Solanum lycopersicum: one gene and its partners. The protein of the gene in region 4 binds, or shares a complex with, the protein of the main gene of each other region. Links are inferred from orthologs where the notes say so. Each region holds a gene or a part of one and is shown on either strand. Other genes may lie near its edges.

Region 1 (3,718 bases), on a different chromosome or scaffold from region 4:
TATGTTCTTCTCGCGAAGAAAAATTGTGAATTTTCAAGTTCAAACGAGCCCCAAAGAAGGCAAAGGCAAATTTTACCAATTTTTATGTGTTATATTTTTCATCAGAAATTTCCAAACAATGGCTGAAATTACTCATGGAAGTCCGTTAAGACCTTAAAATGGAATCAATTTGTCCTGCATGGAAAAATTGTGCATTTTCAAGTTTAAACGAACCCTAAAATAGATAAAGACATATCTTATCGATTTTTGTGTGCATAGCCCATGAATTTTTTTAAATCCAAAAATTTCCAAACAATATGGCCAAAATTTTTCATGGCGTCCGTAAAGAGCTAAGGAATGAAACGAGTTCATCCCGCGGGGAAAAATGATGTATTTTATAATTCAAACGAGCCCCTAAGAAGGCAAAGGTAGTTTTTATCGATTTTAGTGTGTTATAGCCCATAATATTTTTTATCCATAAATCCTAAAACAAAATGACCGCATATTTAATAGACGACCATTAAGACCTTAAAATGGAACCACTTCGTCCTGCGGGGAAAAAAGACACATTTTCAAGTTTAAACAAATTCCAAAGCAGACAAAGACAAATTTTATCAAATTTCTTGCTCTGGGGTTCAGTTGAACTTGAAAATGCACGATTTTTCCCTGCGGGACGAACTGGTTCAATTTATATGGTTTTAACGGATGTCAAAAGAATTTGGCCATTTTTTTATATTCCCGAATCAAAAAGAAAATCATGTGATATAACACATAAAAATTGGTAAAATATGTCTTTGCCTGCTTTGGGCACGTTTGAACTTAAAAATGCATCATTTTTCTCCACGAGACGAGCTAGTTTTATTTCTAAGTTTTTAAAGGACGTCCATGAAAAAATTCGACCATTTTGTTTTGAATTTTTGGGTAAAAATAATTTATGGGTTATGTCATACGAAAATCGATAAAATCTGTTTTTTACCTACTTGTAAACAAAAATTGAAAAAAATGAGGGTTTACCTGCTCTGGATCGTTTGACCTTCAAAATGGGGTGTTTTGATCGTGGTGACTAACTGACTCCATTGATAAGATCTTAACAATCATCCATGTTAATTCAGAAAATATGACGTCAGAGTTCTTATTCACCAAAAATTTCATAGACTATAGCACAGAACACTCGACAAAATTGGGGGTTTACCTACTCTAAACTCGTTTAACCTTGAAAATGGGTCCTTTTTAGCTGTAGTGGCCAATATGCCCCATAGATAAGGTTTTAACTATGTTAATTTTCGGCAAATAACGTTAAAATTCTGGATCACTAAAAAGATGGTTTGACCTTTAAAATGGTCGTTTTGACCGTGACAACCAATTGGCTCCATAGATAAAAGTTCTAACGGACGTCCACAGTAATTTTCAACAAAAATGACATCGAAATTCAGTATTCAAACTCGAAATCCTTAACCGAGAATAGAGTAATCCCATTTATTAGCAGACTAATTTTTGTTATTCAAATCTGGCCGTTGAAGAAGGGGGAAAAAGGGCATGCCCTTATCTACTTATATTGGCCACAACTAAACTAGTTATATCTCCAAAAAAAAAAAAAAAAAACTATAGAGATGGCTTTCTCTGCTGCATTTTCACACACCTCCTTCATATATTCATCATCTTTTTCACAAACAAGAAAAAATAGGATTAATTATAGCCCTTTTGTTATTAAAGCAGAAAATAGTTCATCTGAACCACAAGAAAATAATGAGAAGCCAAAATCTCAAGCAGCAGCAGCAACAACAACTTCTTCTAGTACAACAGCCACCGCAACAAAGCCTAAAAAACCGGTTTATTCTAGTGAGTAGTACTATTTCATGAAAATGTCTCAAATTTCACTAATTTTTTGTTTATAGAAGTTTAGCTTTTTTGTTTTGGTTGGCAGTGAAGAAAGGTCAGATAGTCAGGGTGGAAAAGGAGAAGTATCTGAATAGCATCAATGTGAGTTTTGTTTTTTTTTGCTACTTCACGAGGTAATGATAAGGTTTATGTACACTCTACCTTCTCAGACCTATTTAGTGGGACTTCTTTAATAAAGATATATATACTATAATTTTTTACCAATCAGCATTGTATCCTCTACATGCTTATGAATGATGATAATAATCTGAATTGGAAGTTGTGGACACCCTTGCACTGGAATTTGACTGTATATTTTTGTATAAATTTCTTCAGTATTTGTCTGTTGATCATCCACCTTATTACAAAGGTCTGGACTACATATATGAAGACCGTGGTGAGGTACCATTTTCTTATTTCTCTATAGATCATGTCAAAAGGGATAACAAAATACAATTTGGAACAACATGTTATTTATAAAATAAACTAATCATATATCTGTTTAGGTATTGGATATTCGTATATTCGAGACAGGAGAATATGCACTTGTAAGTATATTTTTTTCGAAATTCAATTTATTATATCAAAACACACCTCGAAACATAAATTTCACTGAATATATAAAGAGATCAAAGTTGAGAGTTTACCTATGCTGCAGATTGGATGGATCGGAATACCAACTGCACCAGCTTGGCTTCCAACAGAGATGCTAATTAAGGTAATTAGCCTTTTGAAATCATTCAAAATACTAAAGCAGCAATTTGCATCATTTCATGAGTACCTTTTATGGTACACTATTAAAAAAACCTCCTTGCACTTCAAATGAGAATCTCTGGTGAAAATTATTTTGGACAAACTCATAGCAATTAACTGCACGGAGGTTTGGGGAATGGACCGGTGGGTTGCTTATATGAACTTAAGCAATCCTCCCAAGTATCCGGAATGGACTGGTGGTTTGCTTATATGAACTTAAGCAATCCTCCCAAGTATCGTATCTTTATTTGATGATACAGTTTCCACCTTGCTAAAAAGCAAGTGGTCTGTTGCGTAATCACACATTCCCTAACCAATAACAAATTTTGCAGTCTGATAAGCTGGATTACGAGAGAATATAGTGGCGAGTCCACAGTTACAGACCAGTACATGCCAGACGAGTAAATCAAAGTGGAGCATCAGATTGACCGCTGCTCATCAGAGATGAAGAGAGATGAGATGGACACACCTCCAGAATTTACTTATTGCTAAATATATTATTATTCCTTAAAGATCACTCAATCAGCTTCTCAGTTGACACTAAATAATCGTTAAATTGATTCTTAAGAAGCTTAATATAACAATCCTGGACTATTCAGTAGGTAAAAGACAGCTTCCAGTAACAATCAAGAGACGTTCTAGATCAACTGAAATATAAATAAACAGCAACATACCCAATGTAATCCCACAAGTGGGGTCTGGGAAGGATAGAACTGAAATATGATATCAGTTAAACACAAAATACCTTCCATATTGAATAGAATGGAGTCGGTTTATAAATGAATATCGAAATGTACGTCTCAATGTACCATTAATTTTTTCATAAAATTATAGTGTACACACAATATACAGTAGGCAGGTAACTGGAAAGTCTCAGTGTACAGCAGCCTGTAAAAAGGGAAGGTGAAGAACAGGTGGTATGGAGTATAAGTTATCTGTATTTTTTTCTGTAAACAATGCTGTACTTGGTATCAATATCTGAAAGCGATGAGGGTGGAGAATGAAATGAAGAAATTAATGAAGAAATGATGCCAGGAAAAATCAGAACTTACAGCCTTCTCCTAGCACGCTTAGTAGCATTCATAAGCTCTGTCAACGAAGCAAGGGG
Region 2 (4,005 bases), on a different chromosome or scaffold from region 4:
TGACATATCAAAGCTAGTTTAGTGAATAAAACAAAGCCTAAGAATTTACTTTTTTTTTCTCTTTTATGATCTCATTATCTCTTTTTCTATATATAATAATATTTTGTTTTTTCCTTTTGATCTCATTAATTGACTCTGTTTATAATCTTTACTTTTTTGACTTAATTGTTACACAATTTTGTGAAGTTCCTTTCCTTTTTCATGCATCTTTTTTTCTTCTTGATTGCATATTAAGCAATCGTTTTTAGGATAACTGTACTTGATTCTCCCTATGATGGAACAACAATATACATAATTTGTTATTTGCTAGCACTTTGTATTTTAATTAACACAAGTAGTATAACTCACGATTCTGACAACATAGATAGGATTTCTCCGTCTCAGACAGTAATGGAGCTAAAATTTTATCTAAGGGGTGTCAAAATCTAAAAAAATAAAATTATGTAAAAGCTAAGGAATATCAATATGTAATATATATATATATATATATATATATATTAAACCTAACTCAATTCAAAAAGCTAATTCAGGGCGATGTTTTTGAAAACGTTTTGGGGCGAGTTTCAGGGAGGGCCATATCGAAAATGCTCCAGGGCGTAAATGAAAGAAGTAAATTCATAAGGTGTAAGTCTTGAGCATAAAAAACGTAAGTTCTGGGCGTAAAACGTATATAGTGACGTTTTAATTTATTATTTAAAACTTTTTTTACTTTAAATTATATTTTTACTATTGGTGTAATAATATTTTTCAAATAGTAATTATAATATATTTTTCTTCATTATTGATTATTAATATTTATTGCAAATAAGAATTATAATCATTGAAAGATTTATTTTTATTTATTTTATTAGTAATAAAATTATAATATTAAATATACATGAGACTAAGCCTAGTAGACCCATGGGGCTTACGCCCCGTGTTCAGGGATTTACTCCTCGCCCTATACGATATAAATCACCTCACTTTTTAAAATATTGATTCAGAATACGAAAGAAATTCTAGTAAAAATTATTTTCTCTTTAAAATCAAATTTATGCAATTTAAATTAGTTAGATTATCAATATGGCTACCATACACTCGATTGAAAACAAAAACAAAAAATACTTTTTCATTCGTCATAATTTATATGATATTATTTAATTTAATATAAAATACAAATGATAGACATAAATTGAGACAAAAAATCGCTAATGACGAGGCAGGAACATAGTGACAACAATGGGGACCTACTTATCTCACTACCTTCACACATTGAAATCCAACGTCACCTTCTGCTATAGTTTTTAGCTATCCCCAAAAAAAGTTGCAGAATTTTATGATAACACTCAAATGGCTGCCTCTACTACTCTACTATCTAACTCCATTTCTCCTTTCTTTGCTAATCCACCTAATTTTCCTGTAACCCATGTCACAAATGTACCTTTCTTGAACCACAATCCATCTTTTCCCGCCAGAAAATCAGGGAATTTTTGCCTCAATGCCAAGAAAAAAAATCCATGGCTTGACCCTTTTGACTATGGTGATGATCCTGAAATGGAATATGGTTCACTTTTTTCTGAAGGGAAACAAGATGAAGATCCAAGGCCACCTGATAATCCTGATAACCCATATGGATTTCTCAAATTCCCAATGGGATACTCTGTTGAGATTGCTTCGTTGGGTTTGAAAATTAGAGGTGATGTTCGGAGATGTTGTTGTGTTATTGATGGTGGGGTTTATGAGAATTTGCTGTTCTTTCCAGTAATTCAGATGATTAAGGATAGGTACCCTGGTGTTCAAGTGGATATACTTGCAACAGCCAGGGGAAAACAGACATTTGAGATGAATAAAAATGTGAGGTGGGCTAATGCCTATGATCTGGATGATGATTTTCCTGAACCAGCTGAGTATACGGATATGCTTGGAATTCTTAAGGTTTCATGCCGTTCCATTAACATTAACATCGATTCATAATTATTTAAATTCTACGTTGCTTGGACTCTTCAAAAATGTTGATTTTAAAGTGCATTACTTTTGGAAGTATCCGACACACATTAATCTACGAGCAACATAGGTTTAAGCAAGTTGTTTCATTTGAAGTATGATTCTTGTCGTGCCTTGATGTATTAGCACCTAAAATTAGAGAAAGTAACAAACATTATATGGAAACTTAGTTAAATACGAAGATTTAACTATGGTTATCTTATGAGTTTGCAGATAATTCAAAAGTTGAGCAGACTACGTTTGGAAAAAGAATCGCTTAGATTAGCTTCAAGATGCTGTTCGTCTTGTTTAGTCAGATAGAGATAAAAGAATTTGCTTCCTGCATTATGAATAGAGAGTTATAGTCATTTTTTGGGCTAAGTTATTTGCTTTAATGCATGGTTTGTTGCAGAGTAGGTACTATGATATGATCTTGTCAACCAAACTGGCAGGGATTGGACATGCAGTATTTTTGTTTATGTCGACTGCTCGTGACAGAGTTAGCTACATTTACCCAAATGTGAATTCTGCAGGAGCAGGATTGTTTCTGTCAGAAACTTTTACACCAGAAAGCATGAACCTCTCCGAGGGCGGATATCATATGTAAGTAGATGTTCCAACTGATAACTTGATCTTTTTGACTACTGAATATTCATTTCAAAATAGGGAGTTTGAAAAGTGCAACAGTTGTACTTCGTCAAAGTTTGTATAAACATGTTTACATACACTTTTTTGAAATAGGTACCGTCAGATGGTTGATTGGTTGGGCAGACCAGCTCGTAAAGTACCTCGACAACCTTTACCCCCACTTAAAGTTTCAATCTCAAGAAAGGTTAGGGAGGTTGTAGAGGCAAAATATAAGAATGTTGGTGCACAGAAAGGCAAATATATTGTGATTCATGGGATTAAATCAGATTCAAAAGCTTCTATGCAGTCAAGGGGTGATATTGATAGCTTGCTCCCTATTGAGATTTGGGCTGAGATAGCAGAGGAGATAAGGTATAATGTCAGTATTTTATTCTCTGTCGGAAAAAGGGCCGACTCGACTACATGGTCATTTTTAGTTCTCGAATTAGCTGATTAGCCTTTTTTCATCAAATGCAAGAAAATTTGTGAGCTATACTAATGGTTTGTAAACTATCATTTGATCAGGGGAGTCAAGCCAGTTTTTGTCATTCCACACGAAAAAGAAAGAGAAAATGTGGAAGATGCAGTTGGTTACGATGCTAGTATAGTGTTCATAACCACCCCTGGACAGGTTTGTTTTCTCAACCACTTTCACAATATCAATGACCGATGATCAACCAGTGTTTAGTTGAACAACCATAAAAGAAGAAATTGGTTGGAGTCACAGATATAATGGCAACAATTTACAGTCATATTCAAGGAGGGTATAATCAAATGAAAGTAGTTTGCTTCTGTTGCATGTTTAGTGGCAGCTTTAACTATAGTCTATATACCGCGGGATGAGCACTAGAAAACTAACAGTCCCTGCATATTTCTCTGCCTTAGCTTGCTGCTCTTGTTGATGACTCTGCTGGAGTGATAGCTACAAATACAGCTGCGATACAACTTGCTCACGCACGTGGAAAACCAAGGTAATGTCATCTACTACAAGCTGTAGACGCGGAAATTTTTTGCACCTTCTGCTGTCTTTGTGGGGAGGTTGATATATCTTGGTTTTGTCTGTACAGTATTGGGCTATTCTGCTCTGAGGATAAGGCCAGAAGTTTTGTTCCCAATGCAGAAGCAAAGAAATGTGCAACTATTTCATCAAATACTGGAAAATTGGTTGATATTGATGTTGAAGCTGTGAAGAGTGCTGTTCAAATTTTCACCATGCCCCTAGCAATCTTCTAAATATTATACATCCTCCAGTTCTCTTACATATAGTAATTAAGTATTCCTGTAATTGTTACTAGTTCCATTTTCTTCTCAATTGTAATTAATAGAAGCGGAAATATATATATTCGTTCTTTTTTCTCAACAGAAAAGGAATATGGAGATATGTTATTTATCAATGTGACACTTTAGGACATTCTG
Region 3 (3,945 bases), about 2.6 Mb from region 4:
TGATATTTTTCATTTTTCAGAGTCAAATAGTTTAAGTATGATCGAAAATTTGCACGTACAATCTTTAATATTTTTCAAAATTTAAATTTATATATTTGTAAACTACGTTAAAAGTAATATAAGTCGTAATAATTGACAATTCAAAATAATTAAAAGATATATATAAAAATTTACGATCAAAGATAGACTTGTTTGAATCTCGAAATTCAAAAAGTGTCGCTTAAATTGGAACGGAAGTAGTACATAGAGCTAATTCAGTAGGTATATTTACACATACAACAAGCAATATCAGAACATTCATAAAAAATATTAGAAAAAAAAGCCAAATCATGTTAGTTATCACTCATCATTCAATCAAACTTTTCAACTCTTAAGTTCCTTCTTAATGTAACTTTAAACATCCTATGTACTTTGATTTATACAACTCTCATCGCAGTAGCGCAATCAGAATTTTTATTAAGGAAATTCAAAATATAAAGAATTGATAAAGGGATTTGACATATACTAATAAGAAATATATAACTTTGACCTTATATATACAGTGTAATTCTTCAGCTAGGGAGTTCATTAGAGTTTTTTTTTCATCTCAATGTAGTTAAGAAACATATAGTACAACCATGGAACAACACCAGATCATATGCATCTTCGAGTAATCGATGAAATCCAATGATCATTACGCGATTCATTTAGATACCTTAATGATATATTCAGAACATATGAATTCGTTGTTCTTTTTTATTTCTATCGTTTCATGATATCGTCCTTCTTAACAGTAAAATCCCATAAATCACCATATTTTTCGTTGAATTCCCAAATGTCCATTGTGTTATAATCCGATATTAACTTATCTCGCGCACCTCTCTCCATGTTATATATTTGAGGCTCGAAATTGTGTGCTTCACTTGGTTTGTCCATCTCAATGATACAGAACACAATTGTAAACACAGCTGCTCCAATGTACAAATACTCCCCCTGCATTGTCAAAGAAGTGAAAATACAAGACTTTTAGTTGCTGGAAACGGGTGTTTTCGAGCCTCGAAAAATGTGTAATATAGTAGAGATTTAGTCATTAACTTACAGGAACATTGAAGTACATTCCTGCAACTATTGCTGGAGGAAACAGCCATGAAATGATACCTATTGTCGAACACCAGAAAAATAAGTTATTTTAAGTAAATAACTAAAGAAGCACTCAAGGGTGTGCCCTAGTGGTCAATGAACTGGTTAAGAGTCACGAGGTCTCATCACGTTCAATTCTCAGCGAGAGAAGAAAAATTCTAGGTGATCCTTTCATTTGTCTTATCCACTGTGGATGAATAGAGTTTTTTTTTTCCACCCGATGTCCGGAGCTTACATTGGAATTACGACTAAATTCGAATCGCACATTGCAGGTCCTATATTTGAGGGTGACGCTCCCAACATGATTTTCTCAATAGATCATATCCAATACTCAAACCCGAGACCTGTGGTTAAGAGTGAAACACTCCCACCAGTGAACCACAATCGGTGTTGGTAGATGGATAGAGTTAGCTGATACTTGTTGCTGATGGAAAGTATTTCGTGAAATTAGTCAAAGTGCGAAAAGTAAATGACTAAGTTAATGATCATATTATTATGGTAATTTGTTACATACCTTGAAATCCTGTTGGGGGTGCAATAGCAGCATAATCTTCTGCTATGGATCCCCAAAATGATACTGAAAATGCAAGTGATATAGAATTAAGTATAGTTTAAGTATAAATACATTTACCTATTTTTGTAAAAATAGCTACTCAAATATTGTGTTTTTCGAAGAATTTGAACACGTGGAGTTCACCAATTTCACGTTGGACAAATATGAAACGATTTATTAAACGAAAAGTCGAACGAAGACTAACTTGATCGAATTCATATAATAATACATTGGACAAATTTAGATATTTTTCAATTCAAATTACAAATTAAATCGAAAAAAACACACACATATTGTTATGTACCTTTTTTATCTTCACTTTCAAAGTACGTATGATGATCATCGTATTTTCCAAAAACATAATCTTCCTGCAACAAATTAAAATAAAATAAAATTAGTTAACATGCGTCTGCCTTAAAATAAATCCGTCAAAATTTCAATAAAAAAAAAATTATTACATAAATATATAAATATGCCCTTCAATTTTGTTTCAGTTACATCTATATCCTCTTATTTTCGATGTACACAAATAGAGACTTATATAAAATTGAAAAAATAGATACATTTGTCAGTTAAAAAAAGCCAAGTTAAAAGGACATTTTGTATTATATCAAAATTATTCGATATCTATGTTGATGAAAGATATTAAACTTACTCAAACACTACAATTATTTAAAAACAACGAAGAAAAGAAAAGAAACATTACAATGTCAATGCCATTAGTTCTCCATCGATCAACAGGATCTTCGTTGATATCTGGTTCTATCTCTGTTAGTCCTGCATACAATCTTGTTGATGATCTAAATCCACCACATTTTGTACCAATTTTCGAGGAAATCGAACATGGATTTCCTCGAAAAAGAACACTCCATTTTGTTGAGAATACTGAATTGGGAACTGGAATTGTGGAGAGTAGTGAAAGTGTTAAAGAATTCTCCATTGTTGTTGAGTAGTGTTGCTCTGTTCTTGCTTGTTTACTCTATGTTTTCTAACTTTATTATCCATATATTTTGAATGGTTAAGGCTATACGTGGATAAGGCTATTATATATTATGGTTTTATATTTTTTTTTTAATATCTATTTAGTCTCTTATTGTGTTACCACAATTTCCGACCCCTTTTAACTTGATTTCATCTGACATCTATGTCTTTCAACTTTGATTGTAGATAAATCAACACTTAAATTTATATAACATTGAACAAACATAAACAGACGTACTACGTGATATAATGCACGTAGGACATTATATAGGATGCAAATTGTCACGTACGATGTCACATAGGATGTGTCTACTTGTTTAATTATATACATATTTATATGTCTGCTTGTAATTGTACATATCCAGAATTGGAGAACGTAAATGTCTATTTAAATGAGATTATTCAAAATGCTTTAAACAAAATAAATTAGCCTCTCTTAGCCATAAACCAGATTTTTTTTTTGCTTACCATTATAAAAATTATTTTAAAACTATTTTAAAAAAATATTTTCACCAATATTTCAAAATTTTAAATTTTTTTCCAACTTATGACAAAAATAAGGGAGAAAAAAGGAGGAAAATATCGACGACATTCATACAGAAATAATTATTTCAATAGGAAACTATTTAATTATAAGTAAGTTTAGGTTTAGCAAACATAAAAAATCATATTTGTATACTATAACTATAGTTTGTATAATTGCGGCCCATACCAAATTTTATACTTGCTATGGTACATTAAATCATTGGCAGCCTCTCGTTTGTATAAATCGTTGACAACCTCTAAATTCAATTTTATGTGTTTGTATATCTGCATAAAATTTGAATTTGTATACAATGTATCGAAATAAAACATTTGTATATCAAATCGCTCTCTCTCTCGAGTTATATAACACAAAGTATACATTGTAATTTGTGTTTATATAAAGCGAGAAAGAGAGAATGACAAAAGAGAACTTGTAGAGGAAATCTGTATTTGTATAATTATAAGTGTATATGACGAAATTATATGTATGTGTACATATAATTTTCTCCCGCTTTATACAAATACAAACACAATTTATTCATTTGCCTTTTGTATAAAGTGAGTGAGACGAGGGAGAGTGACGAGCAAGACCTGGGAGAGTGGCAAGCGAAATTCGTCGGGGAGAGAGGTGAATGACAATTGTTTGCTACGAGTTACAATTAAATCAAAGTATGATTATAACATTAATTTGAATTAATAATTTGATATTTTATATAATTTTTCCTTTAATTATTAAGCAACTGTACGTATACTGTATCTTTCTTTTA
Region 4 (3,471 bases):
ATTCATTTGATATTTGAAGAGTAAGTGAAATTTTAGAACTTATCAAACTCTTGAGAATTACGGAGTTGTTATCAAACTCTTGAGAATTACGGAGTTGTGTTATCAAGAAACGAGAAACTCTTGTTTCTATTTAGCAATTAGCATGACCGTTGGTGTTTTCTTGTTCTTTGTTATTATTTATTGATTGAAGAGTAGGTATCTAAATGCAGATTGATAGGAACGTGCGCTTCAAAGCACTCTTCAATTGGATTTTCCTAATATTCTCTTTTAGACCAGAATGAGACACAAAGATCAAATTGTGAATATGAATTTCCATGTCTTTCAGCATTATTTTGGTGTTTGTTTTAACAGGCAACTGGAGCTGGATATGGAAACTGTAGTTAAGGTACTACAACCTGGTCCACTAGGCATTGTGGAACACAAATTTTCTGCTGAGGAAATACAGAAAGCCAGTGACACCGTTAAGCATGCAGTGAGTAATTGGCGTAGGCAGGCTAACATTGAGAAACATAGCCCCATCATGAAAGATTTTATTGATGTATGAGAGAATTGTTTCTTCATTTGCTGTCAATAATCTCATGAAAAGACAATAGTGTAAATTTGTAATCTCAATAGAAATAAACTATAGTTATACTTATGACTAAAGCTCTAGTCGTTCTGTTTCCCAATCCATTGTCATTGCAGTGTATGAACTGCGTATTGACAGTATAGAATATTGTTGTTGTATAATGCACATAGTTGTTCCTGTTAATATTGTTCCTTGAAGACTACTGCATATATAATGCAGCAAAACGAAAAGATGATAATCAAGATATCAAATGTGAGGGCAGTTTTTGCCTGATTACTCAGCTCCATGTTCCTTCCACCAAGTCGATCCACCATGTCTGGAACAGATTCCCAGTTTTCTACTTCCAGCATGCGTGGATCTTGCAGCCTCATTTTCATTTTCTCTGCTTCTCGACTTGCTGTCTCCTGAGCTAGTGTCCAATCATAGAATCGCCGTTGTTCCTCATCACTCAGGACATCATAAATTTCTCTTAGTTTCATAAATTTCTCTGATGCTGCTCTTATAGGAAGATTAGTTGTGTCTGGATGATACTCCTTTGATAGCCTCCTATATGCAGCTTTAATTTCCTCTAGATCAGCTGTTGCAGATACTCCCAAGAACCTGAATTTGAAACATTAGAATTATGAACTGTGAGCCACACATTAAGAGATAAGATGAAGATAGCAAAGTAGATAATGAAGACTAACTGGTAGTGAGAATTAGCTGAACTGTTGAGGAGGTCTGAGAATTTTTCATCAAAGAGATTCTTTTCGTCTGTTTTGATTCGTTCTTGTGTGGACCGTGACTTACTCTCTCCTACCCATCCTTCATCTTCGTTTTCCCAGTGAATTCTTGTGTCAACACCAGGAGGAGCACGTTGTCGCCCAGTAGCCCCTTCTTCTTTTGCATAAACTTGTAAGCCAACACGGCGTCTTCTTTGTTTTGTTGTCAACCATCTGGTATCTGTTCTGTGCTCATTATTGGTTTGGTTCCTTGTAAGAAAGGTGAATGGAGCTGGTGGAGCTGTTGCTGACGCCATGGAATTGGAAATTTGTTTTGTGTCTGATTTGAGTAGTCTTAGAGGGAGGGGCTTTCTCATCACCTTGTCTTTCTGTGTGGTTGAGGAAATAACTAAACATTTTGTTTGCTTTTTTGTCTACATTTGTGAAATATCAATAATTTTGATTTTTGACGTTTGTACTCTTTAACTTCAAGACAATTTATATACATTCTTTAAGGTACTAAAAAAATTATAAAAGTAAGTTGGACAGGTTGAGTTATGATCCACGTTTTAGTCCATTTCAGTCCAAGTAACTTTTGGGCGGATCAATGACCTGTCTATTTATTAACTCAGCTCATTTTTAACCCGAACAAATTCAGTCTTACCCGCTCATTGCCACCTATAAATACAATCATACTCCTTGGGAGTTGGGTGGCAAAAAGAATGAGTTTGTGAGTTAGTGTTCGGAACGCAACACACCCCTTGTCTCTATATTTTCCTTTTTATATAATTATCATGATATTCAAGTTAGCTGACATATATTTAAACTAATTTTATAGGATGAGCTAACTCGTAACTTGTTTTTTGAATTGTTGAAGTGGAGGTCAATGTAATTTATTTTCTTTTTTGTGGCAAATAAAAGAGAGCCAAGTTGTTCTTTTAACCCTTTTTAAATCTATCTTGCTTTCAATTCACAAGGCAGGATCATTATACAAATATCACATATTTTACTTTTTTGAATAGATTCCGAATTTACAAACTTTAAATCCTGGATTCACATCTCGAGGAAACACAACTTCATACTCAAGCATCTAACAAAAATAATTAAAACAGAATGACAAGTCATGTTGAAGTATGGCATTGTATATAATTTATTATTACAATGCTTAAAGATACATTAAAAGACACTTGTTTGAGAAAACAGAGTTTTCATTGAGCATACTAAATAAAAGATGCTCAATTCCACAAACATTAAGAAAAACCAAACTTACAAGGTGTTAATATGCACTTTCTACATGATATATTGTAGTTTTACTAGCGTGAGTCTGAACTAATCATGCCAGTAAATTTCGCATACTAGATATGTAAAGCAAAAAAAAAAGTGTATATATATATATACACACTATAGCCAAAGAGCTTTAGCTTTCATGAGTAGAGGAACAAGATTTCCCTCTAGATGAAGACTCATAATCTCATTGGCACCGCCAATTAATTCTTGTCCAATAAACACTGCTGGCACGCTAGGCCTTCGGCCTAGCATCAGCAGAGCTCGCTCCACTTGTAGCCCATTGGGAAGTTCATCCAATTCATATACAGTTAAATTAGCACCAAAACTTGATATAAGTGTCTTTATAGTGTGACACATACAACACTTGCTTTTGCTAAACATAACCACTGGCTTTTCAGCTACCATTTTTTTCAATGACTCCATTTTTAATTAATGAAAAAAAAAGATTAATGTAATATAAGAGAATTGATAACTTGTTGAATTGATGATGAATTTGAAACTCTTATTGAAGCTATTTATATACTAATAGTGACTTGTGAAGATTCAATATGCTTCCTCTAAACCCCCCCCCCCCCCCCCCCCCCCACCCAAATAAATTAAAGGAAGGAATAATTTTTTAGATAAGGAGTTGATACTGTTAGATAGCATTAGAAGTTCTTGATACTGTCTTAAAAGTGTACCAAAAATATATATATAAAAAAAAAATCCACCATAAAGTATGGAGGCTAGTAAGTGAACTTTGTTACATATCTACATATTTTTTTTCCAATTAAGTTCCAATATAAATTCTTCTTCTAATTAAACACATGGGTTTTACAATCAATAAATTATCTCTTTTTTGGTTAAAAACATGTATATACACTAATTCAAAAATAACTTTTAACGAAAGTAAATAAATATATTAGTAAAGAGTGT
Region 5 (3,753 bases), on a different chromosome or scaffold from region 4:
CATAAACTTGTTCTTTATTTTATTTCTCATTGTTAATCAAAAAGTCAACCTATTCATTATTTTACTTTCTAGTATTCTAATTTCTCATGTTTGATTCTTATGTTCAAGTAGAACTTTGTGCCTAATCCAAAAAACCATTTAGGACCATAACCATTGTTATTAGTATATTATCAATTGACCTAATATAATAAATCAATGATCATAAAGTGTGTTTGCAAAACATTAAAAAAGAAAAAAAAGATAGGACAAAGAATGTTGAAGTTTTTATCGGGAACAACCTCTCAATTCCATAAAGTTAAAAGTGACGTATGCATACATACTACCCTTCTCAAATGGATTGCAACGTGTCGTGTGCTGTTTTAATATCGCGATTTCTCGTATATAATGATACATTTTCTCGAGAAAAAATACATTTTCAAAATACATGTTAGGAAGAAAGTAGAGCAGGTAAAAAGTGTAGCAAGTTAATGCAAGACTTAACTACTTTATGGAATATCATGAACCAGAAAGTTGTACATTTCATTGATTAAATAAGCAAAAGCAACAACTAATTATGTGTCATCAAAACCTAATACTATTTGTAACTCTGTTACATGATTTGGTTCACTTGTTAGTATAAATTCGCATCACACTTGACATACAAATCATAACAACAAAATTTCATTCTAGTTTCAAAGTTTGAGCTAAAAGGAAAAAATGAAGGCAGTATCAATTGAAACTGGAGAGGGATCAAAGGCCAAAAGAGTTCATGGAGTGAACAGAGGAATCTCTGTATTTGATCTTGTTTTACGTATCGTTGCACTTGTTGGAACCTTAGCAAGTGCTGTGGCAATGGGTACTGCAGATCAAGCACTTCCATTCAGTACACAGATTGTAAATTTTGAAGCTCAGTATGATGATATCGACTCGTTCAAGTAAGCAAAACTGCAAACATATTATTACATGAAATAGAACAGTATAAAGGTTAACTAACACATTTTTTTGTTTTGCTTATTCTGATTGAAGGTTCTTCGTGGTTTCGAATTCTATAGTTTGTGTATATCTTGCACTTTCTATCACTATTTCAATCTTTCACATTATCAGAAGTAGAGCAGGAAAGAGCAGAGTTTTGCTCATTGTTCTAGACGCGGTAATACATTAGATTTCTGCTAAAGTTTTCATATTTAGTACTTTGTTATGATGTTGTACTGATATCTTTTATACTTTGCGAAAACTTTTGAAGATAATGCTGGTTTTCCTCACATCTGGAGCATCAGCAGCAGCCGCGATTGTGTATTTGGCACACAATGGCAACACTTCAACTAACTGGTTTTCGATATGCCAACAGTATACAGATTTCTGTCAACGTTCTGCTGGATCCCTTATCGGTTCTTTTGGTGCAATGGCCTTGATGGTTATACTTATAATTTTGTCATCTATCGCTTTATCAAGGCGCTGAAGATGTTGGCTACACTAGCAATTGCTAGCCTTTGTGTGTGTATTGTGTTTGTAAATGTTAGTTTCATCAGTTGCATTTCATTGTATCAAGATTTTCATCAGTTGTATCACATAATGAAAAGATTTCCTCCTTACTTCAATGTTTTCATCTTCAAATATCACGTTTATTCAACTAATAGTTATTCTCTCATAAACTCGTATGTAATCTTGATTCCAATTTCATCAACTCGCAGACCAAGCTTATAAATGAACATAAAATTGTATATAATTTCAACGTTTTTCGATCAGTTTATTTGTTAAACCAACGCGATTTTTCTGCTACAACATTCACTCACCTTTGAGCCTGATGATATTATTATGCAAGTAATCCCACCAATTCATCAATTGATTTCAACGTCTTCTCATAGAATACACGAGATTCATATACCTTTGGTGTTCGAATGTAGTAATCAAACTGCAGACGAAGAAAATACATAGAAATATCCATAACACTGAATAGAACCTCGAAAAATTCTGAACAGGGAAAATAAGGACAGTTAGTTACCTCAGCCATGTTATCAGTAAGCTCATTGACAGTTTTAATATAAGACTCTTTTCGACTTTCAGGCACCCTGGATAAGGCATTCTTCACGTCCTGTTTAAGATAAGCTGATTTAAGTCGTATATAAAACAATACATACCTCCATGAGTTAGTCTCCAACATCTCTTTAATACTATGTAGTCCATCTGCTGTTTGACGAATTCGTGCTACTGCATCTTCAGGGGACAATCCAGGCTCAAAGAAATGTTCTCTTAAGAATGATCGAACGCCCCAATTTTCAGCTAATGCTAAAGGGGTGAATTGTAGGCCTAGTGTCAATGGAGTGACTAGAAAAGTCGCGATGAGTTTGCGTCTACATGAGAAGTTTTGTTCATTAGTTGATAAGTTAGATTGGATTTTGGGTAGTGTCTTGCATTGTGTGTGATGAGTTTTGGTTATTTTGGTTTTTGGATGGAACAAAGTTGTAGGATTTGTGAAAGTGGTCATTTTTGTGTTGAAAAAAAAAATCTAAGGAGTGTTTGATGGTTTTTGTGTGTGTTTTGGATGGATATTAATTGATTTCCCTAAATCCAAAATGGACCTTAGGTTTTGGTGACTTGGCAAATATTTTATCCTCTTTTTTTCCCAATAAATTTTGGTGTTGTTGGGTCAATGGTGTAAGAGGCTTTGTTCTAGTTGGCCCAATTTTGGAATTTGTTTAACTTAGGGTTGGCCTTGTTCAATTTGAAACTAGTTTTACTTGGTTCGCATTTTTTCGGAATCAATCAAGACTGAACACTAGTAGCCCTATTTCATTGACGGGTTGGGATCAATCTTCTATCAATCGAACAAATTTCTTATGTTTTTCCCTTGAGGCATTCAATTCTCGTATCAAAACAAATTTGAGTTCAACATTGAGATTAGACACTAAAAACCATTTAAATTATGCTGAATTTTTCAACTATACACTCCTGAAATAAGTTATCACCGTCATAGAGCAGAGTAATGGTATCAGGATTAGTTATCCCAAAATAAAATAATGAAACTGACAGAAACACCCTTGAAGTCTATGATGTTATTTTTCTACACTACAACAAAAATAATTTTTGGCGGCATTAAATATTGACATTGATAAAGAGTGCGAAAGTCTTTACCGGCATTAGTTAAGTATCATTAGAACCAATGTTGCTAAATATTTTATGGACATATACAAAGAGTGTCAATTGCCGCTAAAAATACATATTTAACGACAATTAATGATTATTTTTGTTATAATGACTGGAGAGTATTTTTGTGAACAAATTATATCTTCTTTAAAATTATGAAATACATGTTATTTAGTTTTTGATATAACAAATCAAATCATCAATAAATTATCTTCATAAATAAAGAGATATAAAGCAATTTAGGCAAAAATAATACATTATTGATTGTGCATGAATAATTGCTTTACAGCTAAAATATCTAATGTCTCTAGCTCCCACATAGTTGGACTAATAATAATTGCTTTACAAATTAAAGCAACACCTTTAATTTACAAAAAATAATAGATGAGAAATGAATGGATTGGGATGATAAAATTATATAAACGAATTATAACTTAACTGAAAAAAAGAAATAATTAGAATTCTTTTGTAATCCCTATTAGTATAAGGGTCGTTAATAGTTTGTTTGATTAAATATTTTAAATACAAAAAATACTTGATCAAACTTTAAGCGAAAAAATAAGTACTTATAAATTAGTAATAATGCTACTCGTTGAATTATGACATGCGTAAAAATACATCTTGAAAATA
Region 6 (4,153 bases), on a different chromosome or scaffold from region 4:
TTCCACATACCTTTACAGTGCAAATGAAGAATTGGCTTCCGTTGGTATTAGGCCCTGCATTAGCCATGCTAACAATCCCAGGTCCGGTATGAACCACTGCAATTACACAAGGATTTTTCATCACAAAAGAACATTGAACACAATTGACAATCTGAACCAAAGGGGTCCATTGCCTTAACCACAAGGAGAAGTTTGAAACCAATTTTTAAGAAGAAAATCCAACTTACACTTGAAGTTTTCATCCTTGAAGGTACGACCATATATGCTTTTACCACCGGTTCCCTGCGAATAAAAAATTAAATCCATGGGGGGAAGATTACAATATGCCAGAATGGCAAGTGAAAATTTTCCAAATTATGAACTGCAAACACTAGAACACTCTTCAATCAATCTATGCATATTAAATATTGGAGCAGTCAAGTTGTGTGCAATAACACATTCCACTTAAACAGAATTATTGAATATGGCAGTAGTACATATTCCACTGAGCATCTTAGCTCATGTACTCTTTCACACATTCAACTACTAATCAAAGAAGACATCCCATTCAGAAACATAGAACAAGCAAAGTTACATCATGCAAGTTCATTACTTATTTTTGAAAAAAAGTTTATACCATGAAAATTGATAATTTAGAATACAGAGATCTTACGTTGCTACAAGCATCAGGGAAGTCTCACAAACACAGAACCGAAACAAACTGAAAAACAACCTTTTCTTCTCTGGTTTTCCATGGTAGAAATTGGAGCCATGGAGGATCCAAAAGATGAAGGATAAACCACCAAACAGGAACAAGAAAACACTAGGCAAAGAACTAATTCAGAATTTTGCATTTCTGTTAATTTAAAATCTTGCTCAAGGTGAAACAAGCAAAATAAAAGGCTAAAAGATAAGCACCCAAAACACACCAAGTGTACTACAGAAAATACAATGAACTGGGTGAAGGATGTGTGTGTCAAGAAGAATGCCAATTAGAGGAACAAATAGAAAAAAAAAAGAAAGAAAGAGAAAGCAAACCAGGTGTTGAGACACCTACATTTCCCTTGTCGAAATCACCCCCTTGAATCATGAAATCTTTAATAACACGGTGAAATGCAGAATCCTTGAAGCCAAAGCCCTTCTCACCTGATCGGAAGAAATCAATCCAAACTATAAGCTAAACATAAATGATAGAAAGAATTATATGCATGAAGCTCAAGCAACAAGGCAGAATATTATAGCAATAATGATAATGAGAACAAAAACTGCAATAAAGGTAGTAGTGATAGCAGCACTAGTCATAAGAATATCGACGACAATAATATTAATAACATAAAATCTATTAAAGAACCTGTGCAGAGTGCACGGAAATTTTCAGCTGTCTGTGGCACATCATCACCATATAATCCAATTACAATTCGCCCAGCAAGTTTTCCAACAGGATTCCCAATGCTAATATCAAAATAAACTTTGTTTGTCACTTTGGATTGCAAATCCGCCACCTGGATTTCAATAAATACATTCAGATCTATTAAAAACTTCAACCAAGTAATGAACAAATTATGGAACATTAGTCCCATACAAAAGGCAACATAACACCATGTTTGCTGAAAACTGAACCACAGCCATTCTAATCAATGCTCCAAGACTTAAAAATCCGCTTCCACAATTAACTTTGCTACTTAACAAAAGAAAACACTGCATTATATGACAGTCTTCTCATTTTGGGTCATATTTGACATCTCTATATTTTTATACCAATTTCACAAGTTGTAAGTATTAAAAGTCCTTGTTCCACTCACAAATATTATGAAGAACTAAAATTTCTCTTTTCACAACCTTCGATATAAACTTTTTTTCCAAAAGTTGTTCATAGTTTCTTCTAGCATCACCAATACTATATACAAACCTAATTTAACATATTCTCACATAAAATGAGACAACGAAGTAACACTCAGCCACACATGCCATCTGCAACCAATGTATTCATCTACTTATCCCTTACATTTAGCTCTAGAACTTAAACAGAAAAGTTATTCCTCACAGAAACCCTAGAACGCATATTTACTAGCTCAACGCTAGACATATTGACTCAATCATCAAATTTTCGGCGAAATCAAAGAAGAAACACACAAACAGTAGAGCAATCACTAATAAATTAGCTCAGCGAGCGAGCACAGACCTCCACCGCGGCTTGAATAGAACCAGATGAACCGCCGGTTTTTTTGTGAACCGAACGGTTTGAAGAAGTGTCCAGACGCAACGAACCACCAAATAAGCTTGACGATGAGAATGAAGATTTCAGCAACTTCGGATAAGCAGCATATGTAGGGTTCGCAACTCGTGGAACTGAAATTGAGCCTAAATTCGACTGTAAACGGAGAAACGTTAGTCAACTAAAACAACAACAACAACAACAACAACGCTCTATTTCCAAAAATTAGTGTTATTACTACAAATTAGAAGGCAACACTGAACAACAAAGCTCAACTGCAAATTATTGAGAGGTTAAAGAAACTCACCACTGAAGCAAATGTAGCTGCCATAGTTGCCGATTTCAGTTCTCCGGTACGGCGAGTTGAACTGCAATAGAGATAGAGAGAGAGAGTGTGTGTGGTTGGTGAAAATGAGGGACAAAGATGGTGTGTGACGGAGATGACGAGCCTCAACCCTCTTGTATAGACCGATTAGGTAAACATATCCATTACAAATGGTAAAAAAGTTGTTACTAGAGTATAATATTAGGAAATAGCCTAATTTTTACCATGGTTTAAAGTGCGAGATCGTTTGGTTACTGGATAAGGATTGAGTTACGTTACATAAGTTATACTATATTTGATAGCTCTTTTATGTCAAGATATAATGTTTTAACACACATAATTCTATGTTTCATTAGAAAATTAGAAAACTATTGAAGTAATACATGTATAAGTTATGAGTCAATCCATGAATTATTTTATGCGAGTTCGAGATGAAATAAGTTATACTTGAATAATTAGTACTACATGAATAAAAATATAAATTGACCACTTTACGTTTCACTCTCAATCAAATATACTCCACTTCTTTTTAAATAAACATTCAAATACTCTCTCTATATTTGTAGATCTAGAATGTGACTCTTCATCTTCCAAACAAATAAAATGAAAAAAACTTTCAATTTTGTGTTTTTTCTTTGCCATTAAAAGTTCGAAAACTCTAAACTTGACTTATTTTTTTTATTTTCTTTTTCTCCTCTTGTTTTCTCCTCTTTTAATCTGACGAGAAAGGAATGAAATTCTAGGTCTTCTCAATATATTTTTCAATGAAGTTGATGTTTGAGTACTCCCAATTTTGATGTGAGTTTTGTTTTATTTGTTCAAAAATCGTGTTTTCTAAAAAAGGATTCATTAGGTTTAGTTTCTAAAACTCCAAAAAATGAACATGTATTTGAAGTGTGACAAAATAATATTAATATTTTAGTTATTGAAGTCGAACAAAAATAAGACATTTTACCTTTGTTTTTCAATATTACTTTTTATTTTTTATAAAATTGAACATTTTAGTTTGAAATCATCTATTACCTGTGTATAATAATATTCTCCCATGATGAGCTCCACGTTGAAGCCTTCTATATATATATAATGTTATAAAGAGTACAATGTATCAAGTAGACTATGATTGTGGTAAGAGTACAAGCTTATGTAAATAAGTGTTAGGTAGTGGAGCCTGATTAATTTTAGGTTTTCCTATTTATTCTTTGTAACCAAAAATACTCTGATTTATTAATATAAATATACCTCACCGTCGTAGAAGTTTACTCACGGGGTTTTACCACGAAATATTGAGTTTTCTCTCTCTCTCTCTAGATTTCTCATCTCTTTCTCTTGAAAGTTCTTGTGTTCTTCAATCATCTAGTGTGTGTGCGTGAATCGATCCTAACAACTGGTATCAGAGCTAAGGAGATTCAACACGATCACAGAAGATGGATAGTTCGAAGCTTGGAATCAAGAAGTTTGATGGATCCGATTTCAGTTTCTGGAAGATGCAGATCGAAGATTATCTGTACCAGAAAGATTTTCACGAACCGTTGACCGGGGTGAAGCCGGAATCCATGACGGAGGAGAAGTGGAAACTCAAGGATCGTCAGGCTCTAGGGTTGATCCGGTTGACTTTGTCAAGAAACGTGGCGTTC
Region 7 (3,000 bases), on a different chromosome or scaffold from region 4:
TTTGGTTGATTCCTGGTTCCTGGACAAGCTTGTCCCTATCCCAAACTTGTTATAACTGATGAGGCTAGTCTCCACACTTCCCCATGAATGAAGTAGTGGGGACCCTTACCTCTTCTTGTTTGCCATTTTTTGTTTTTGGAATGACTTCCTTGATATAGCTATATTTTCAACCGGTGATTTTGCCAAGTATTTTTACCTATTATGTCACCTCTTTCTCTGAATGCAACTATTTCAGTATTATTTTAATATGTTCTTTACAATAGATGTAGATCATCACAAACACACAACACTCTAATCTTGAAACTTGTGAAATGGGTCATATTTCTAAACATGCAGTGTCAGAAGAAACACACCTATGTCTGCCCCGTTTTTGAAGCAACTGGCAACTGTCCCAAAGGTTCAAACTGCAAGCTTCACCATCCGAAGAACAGAAGGAAGGGAGCGAAAAGGAAAGCTTTGAGCGAGTTAAAGAATGGTCGAGGTCGTTACTTTGGCTCTCCGCACATTCATATTTCTGAGTGCATAACAGCTGGATCAGAGAAGCCTTCTGTCAAGGGGAATAATGACATATTCCTTGAAGGGAAGTTTGTCGATTTTATTAGCCTAGATGGTAGTGACGAAGAGGAACAGACTATTGATCAGAGAAGCGAGGAAAAGCCACTTTGCGAGAGTGGTCCAGCAGAGATGCAACTGGATGATCTCGATGAGCTTATTAAGCCCGTGCGTCTGATAAATAGGAATAGGTCTGTAGGTTCATCTCCCTATATAGATAGCCCAAGTGATATGACCACAAGCTATGTATCAGAGTAGCCTCACCATTGTAAATGAGGTTGTGTAATTAGGTTTATGTAGTGTTCTGCTAGTGCAGAGCAATTTTTTTTCTTTTTATTGTTAGGCTTTTAGTTAATTACTTAGGTATAGGTCTTAGGATTAGGCATATTTTTTGTTTCGCAAAATCTGTTGTGTGAGATAGAACAAGAAAACTGTTGTTATAGTGAGAGAATTAAAGGAAATGAAAATCTTATCCCCTATGTACAAGTCTTTATTGGAAGCTGTTTGACTTTTGTTCTTTAACAATTTTCAAGTCAATCTGAACTCTCTTATTGAGTCTTTATCACAGGTGATAATGAACCTGTAGATTCAATCAGCTGGTGTTATGTTTATTTTACTTTTGACAGGTAAGCATTCTTTTTTTGTAGTGATGAATACACGGATAAAAAAGATTGTTTTTAATAGATCCACCACCATACGAACTTCTGAACTTAAATTTTTTGGTTTTGTCTATATAAGTGAAACGCCCTGCATACTTATCTTTCATGGCTCGGATTCACTAATTAACCAAACCTTTAAACCTGGTTTAACAGGGATAAAAACGAAAGTAATTTAAGTACCTCAAAGTGAGTAATTTGTAATTAACCTTTTATTAAGCACAGCCACAGAACAAAAAAAATATAAGATAATAAAAAGAAGCCATATGTAAGCAAACATTTCCTATCCACACAAAAAGGAGGATATATTAATATCCCAATACCAACATTCAAGAAAAGGCCATAAAAATCACACATAACAAAACACTAGGAGAAAGGGGGAAACATGGCAGCAACTTCAACATACATGGCTTCAACCCATTTCAGCATGTTAAGTTGGAGCACAAAGGGAAAGAATAAACAACTCAAAAGGAGAAACTTCTTCTCAGTTTCAGCACAGCAAGCAGAAGTTGAAGAGTTAAAACTAAAAAAAGAGGAAGAAAAGAAAGAAGAAGAAAAACAAGAAGAGGGGGCAATGAAGAAGCCAAGGCCAGTAGAACCACAAATAAATGTGCAGAGCAAGAACATGACCAGAGAACATGGAGGACAATGGCTCAGTAGTGCTACTAGACATGTTCGAATATATGCAGCTTATATTGATCCCGAAACCTTTGCTTTCGATCAAACACAAATGGATAAACTCACACTCCTTCTTGACCCTACTGATGAATTTGTGTGGACTGATGATACTTGTACCAAAGTCTATTCTTACTTCCAAGAACTTGTTGATCATTATGAGGTAATGAAAACTTCTCTTCATCAATACAAGCTTAATCATGCAATCACTCTTGTACCAAATGGATTAGAAATAGAAATGCTAACTCCAATAACTTTTTATGATCTGGACCAGGGAGCTCCATTGACGGAGTACACGCTTCGCCTGATAGGTTCAGACATAGAGCACTACATAAGAAAACTTCTCTATAATGGAGAAATCCAATACAACATGAATGCAAGAGTTCTTAACTTCAGTATGGGGAAACCAAGAGTTGGGTTCAATTACAATGGACAAATGGAAGATGTAAACCAGTAAATTCAGGTAACAATGTTGACTATATTGAAACAATGAGTAGCAAAAAATGCAGTTGTAACAATGTATAAGAAACTTTCACCTTCTCTGTCTGTTTTGAGAACTTTTCCCAAATGGATTATACACAATACAAATGTTATCTACCTAATCATTGGTGGCAAAAGGGTATTTTATACTGTGGTTTTCATATTCCTAATCATCTAAGCATTGTATCAATACCCCCAATCAAAATTGCAATAGCTTCAAATTTGTTTGAGATTTCCTATATCTACACCACTCCATATATTTAAGCTTACCTCATCTATATTCAACCTACTTTATTATAAAATTATTCGTTTTTTTCCACAAAAATTTTAAAATAATATGTAAAACTTACTAGACTTTAAAACTAACACACTATATTATCTTACATACAAGATTATGTAAGAACAACTATTGATAATGTAAAAAAAAATGAAAATTATTACATCTTATAATTTAATCTTAATAACATAAGTATAAATTAATGATTGTAAAAATATATACTAGAATCTGTAACATAAACAATGGTGGCAGTGAGTCACTAACCGGAGCAATGTACACAAATATTTAATTGTGAAAAAGAAGAAGAAGAGAGACAGAATTTTCGTTCTTTTAAAAGGAGAGAAAATCCCTCTATTTATA

Evidence for each region.
Region 1: NAD(P)H-quinone oxidoreductase subunit T, chloroplastic (region 4) and NAD(P)H-quinone oxidoreductase subunit O, chloroplastic share a complex: the UniProt entries of both Arabidopsis thaliana proteins name them as parts of the chloroplast NDH complex. The link is inferred for Solanum lycopersicum from reciprocal best matches to the Arabidopsis thaliana genes NdhT and NdhO.
Region 2: NAD(P)H-quinone oxidoreductase subunit T, chloroplastic (region 4) and photosynthetic NDH subunit of subcomplex B 1, chloroplastic share a complex: the UniProt entries of both Arabidopsis thaliana proteins name them as parts of the chloroplast NDH complex. The link is inferred for Solanum lycopersicum from reciprocal best matches to the Arabidopsis thaliana genes NdhT and PnsB1.
Region 3: NAD(P)H-quinone oxidoreductase subunit T, chloroplastic (region 4) and photosynthetic NDH subunit of subcomplex B 5, chloroplastic share a complex: the UniProt entries of both Arabidopsis thaliana proteins name them as parts of the chloroplast NDH complex. The link is inferred for Solanum lycopersicum from reciprocal best matches to the Arabidopsis thaliana genes NdhT and PnsB5.
Region 5: NAD(P)H-quinone oxidoreductase subunit T, chloroplastic (region 4) and photosynthetic NDH subunit of lumenal location 2, chloroplastic share a complex: the UniProt entries of both Arabidopsis thaliana proteins name them as parts of the chloroplast NDH complex. The link is inferred for Solanum lycopersicum from reciprocal best matches to the Arabidopsis thaliana genes NdhT and PnsL2.
Region 6: NAD(P)H-quinone oxidoreductase subunit T, chloroplastic (region 4) and photosynthetic NDH subunit of lumenal location 5, chloroplastic share a complex: the UniProt entries of both Arabidopsis thaliana proteins name them as parts of the chloroplast NDH complex. The link is inferred for Solanum lycopersicum from reciprocal best matches to the Arabidopsis thaliana genes NdhT and Pnsl5.
Region 7: NAD(P)H-quinone oxidoreductase subunit T, chloroplastic (region 4) and ORR share a complex: the UniProt entries of both Arabidopsis thaliana proteins name them as parts of the chloroplast NDH complex. The link is inferred for Solanum lycopersicum from reciprocal best matches to the Arabidopsis thaliana genes NdhT and NdhM.

What each region holds. Positions count from the first base shown.
Region 1 is NC_090810.1:1,415,295-1,419,012, reverse strand, and holds NAD(P)H-quinone oxidoreductase subunit O, chloroplastic, read left to right. Parts: upstream 1-1,492; 5' UTR 1,493-1,589; coding exon 1,590-1,818; intron 1,819-1,882; coding exon 1,883-1,959; coding exon of another isoform or gene 1,960-1,991; intron 1,992-2,193; coding exon 2,194-2,259; intron 2,260-2,363; coding exon 2,364-2,405; intron 2,406-2,515; coding exon 2,516-2,575; intron 2,576-2,942; coding exon 2,943-2,972; 3' UTR 2,973-3,218; downstream 3,219-3,718. Other genes in the region: uncharacterized protein, read right to left, coding at 3,659-3,718. UniProt on the Arabidopsis thaliana protein: NDH shuttles electrons from NAD(P)H:plastoquinone, via FMN and iron-sulfur (Fe-S) centers, to quinones in the photosynthetic chain and possibly in a chloroplast respiratory chain.
Region 2 is NC_090802.1:62,985,699-62,989,703, reverse strand, and holds photosynthetic NDH subunit of subcomplex B 1, chloroplastic, read left to right. Parts: upstream 1-1,205; 5' UTR 1,206-1,329; coding exon 1,330-1,914; intron 1,915-2,374; coding exon 2,375-2,565; intron 2,566-2,703; coding exon 2,704-2,961; intron 2,962-3,114; coding exon 3,115-3,220; intron 3,221-3,474; coding exon 3,475-3,560; intron 3,561-3,656; coding exon 3,657-3,822; 3' UTR 3,823-3,956; downstream 3,957-4,005. UniProt on the Arabidopsis thaliana protein: NDH shuttles electrons from NAD(P)H:plastoquinone, via FMN and iron-sulfur (Fe-S) centers, to quinones in the photosynthetic chain and possibly in a chloroplast respiratory chain.
Region 3 is NC_090808.1:66,330,680-66,334,624, reverse strand, and holds photosynthetic NDH subunit of subcomplex B 5, chloroplastic, read right to left. Parts: upstream 2,706-3,945; 5' UTR 2,613-2,705; coding exon 2,379-2,612; intron 2,041-2,378; coding exon 1,977-2,040; intron 1,697-1,976; coding exon 1,634-1,696; intron 1,138-1,633; coding exon 1,079-1,137; intron 973-1,078; coding exon 742-972; 3' UTR 501-741; downstream 1-500. UniProt on the Arabidopsis thaliana protein: NDH shuttles electrons from NAD(P)H:plastoquinone, via FMN and iron-sulfur (Fe-S) centers, to quinones in the photosynthetic chain and possibly in a chloroplast respiratory chain.
Region 4 is NC_090808.1:63,749,593-63,753,063, reverse strand, and holds NAD(P)H-quinone oxidoreductase subunit T, chloroplastic, read right to left. Parts: upstream 2,024-3,471; 5' UTR 1,647-2,023; coding exon 1,255-1,646; intron 1,169-1,254; coding exon 748-1,168; 3' UTR 545-747; downstream 1-544. Other genes in the region: uncharacterized protein, read left to right, coding at 352-544; monothiol glutaredoxin-S2-like, read right to left, coding at 2,671-2,979. UniProt on the Arabidopsis thaliana protein: NDH shuttles electrons from NAD(P)H:plastoquinone, via FMN and iron-sulfur (Fe-S) centers, to quinones in the photosynthetic chain and possibly in a chloroplast respiratory chain.
Region 5 is NC_090804.1:2,507,927-2,511,679, reverse strand, and holds photosynthetic NDH subunit of lumenal location 2, chloroplastic, read right to left. Parts: upstream 2,506-3,753; 5' UTR 2,465-2,505; coding exon 1,982-2,464; intron 1,892-1,981; coding exon 1,793-1,891; 3' UTR 1,773-1,792; exon of another isoform or gene 1,678-1,772; intron 1,578-1,677; exon of another isoform or gene 1,439-1,577; coding exon of another isoform or gene 1,223-1,438; intron 1,130-1,222; coding exon of another isoform or gene 1,006-1,129; intron 915-1,005; coding exon of another isoform or gene 697-914; 3' UTR 501-696; downstream 1-500. Other genes in the region: casparian strip membrane protein 2, read left to right, coding at 697-914, 1,006-1,129, 1,223-1,438. UniProt on the Arabidopsis thaliana protein: NDH shuttles electrons from NAD(P)H:plastoquinone, via FMN and iron-sulfur (Fe-S) centers, to quinones in the photosynthetic chain and possibly in a chloroplast respiratory chain.
Region 6 is NC_090800.1:5,016,467-5,020,619, reverse strand, and holds the start of photosynthetic NDH subunit of lumenal location 5, chloroplastic, read right to left. Parts: upstream 2,801-4,153; 5' UTR 2,526-2,800; coding exon 2,502-2,525; intron 2,351-2,501; coding exon 2,162-2,350; intron 1,482-2,161; coding exon 1,331-1,481; intron 1,126-1,330; coding exon 1,037-1,125; intron 283-1,036; coding exon 228-282; intron 97-227; coding exon 11-96; intron 1-10. UniProt on the Arabidopsis thaliana protein: NDH shuttles electrons from NAD(P)H:plastoquinone, via FMN and iron-sulfur (Fe-S) centers, to quinones in the photosynthetic chain and possibly in a chloroplast respiratory chain.
Region 7 is NC_090803.1:56,432,396-56,435,395, reverse strand, and holds ORR (NAD(P)H-quinone oxidoreductase subunit M, chloroplastic), read left to right. Parts: upstream 1-1,483; 5' UTR 1,484-1,593; coding exon 1,594-2,046; intron 2,047-2,157; coding exon 2,158-2,340; 3' UTR 2,341-2,500; downstream 2,501-3,000. Other genes in the region: uncharacterized protein At1g21580, read left to right, coding at 337-810. UniProt on the Arabidopsis thaliana protein: NDH shuttles electrons from NAD(P)H:plastoquinone, via FMN and iron-sulfur (Fe-S) centers, to quinones in the photosynthetic chain and possibly in a chloroplast respiratory chain.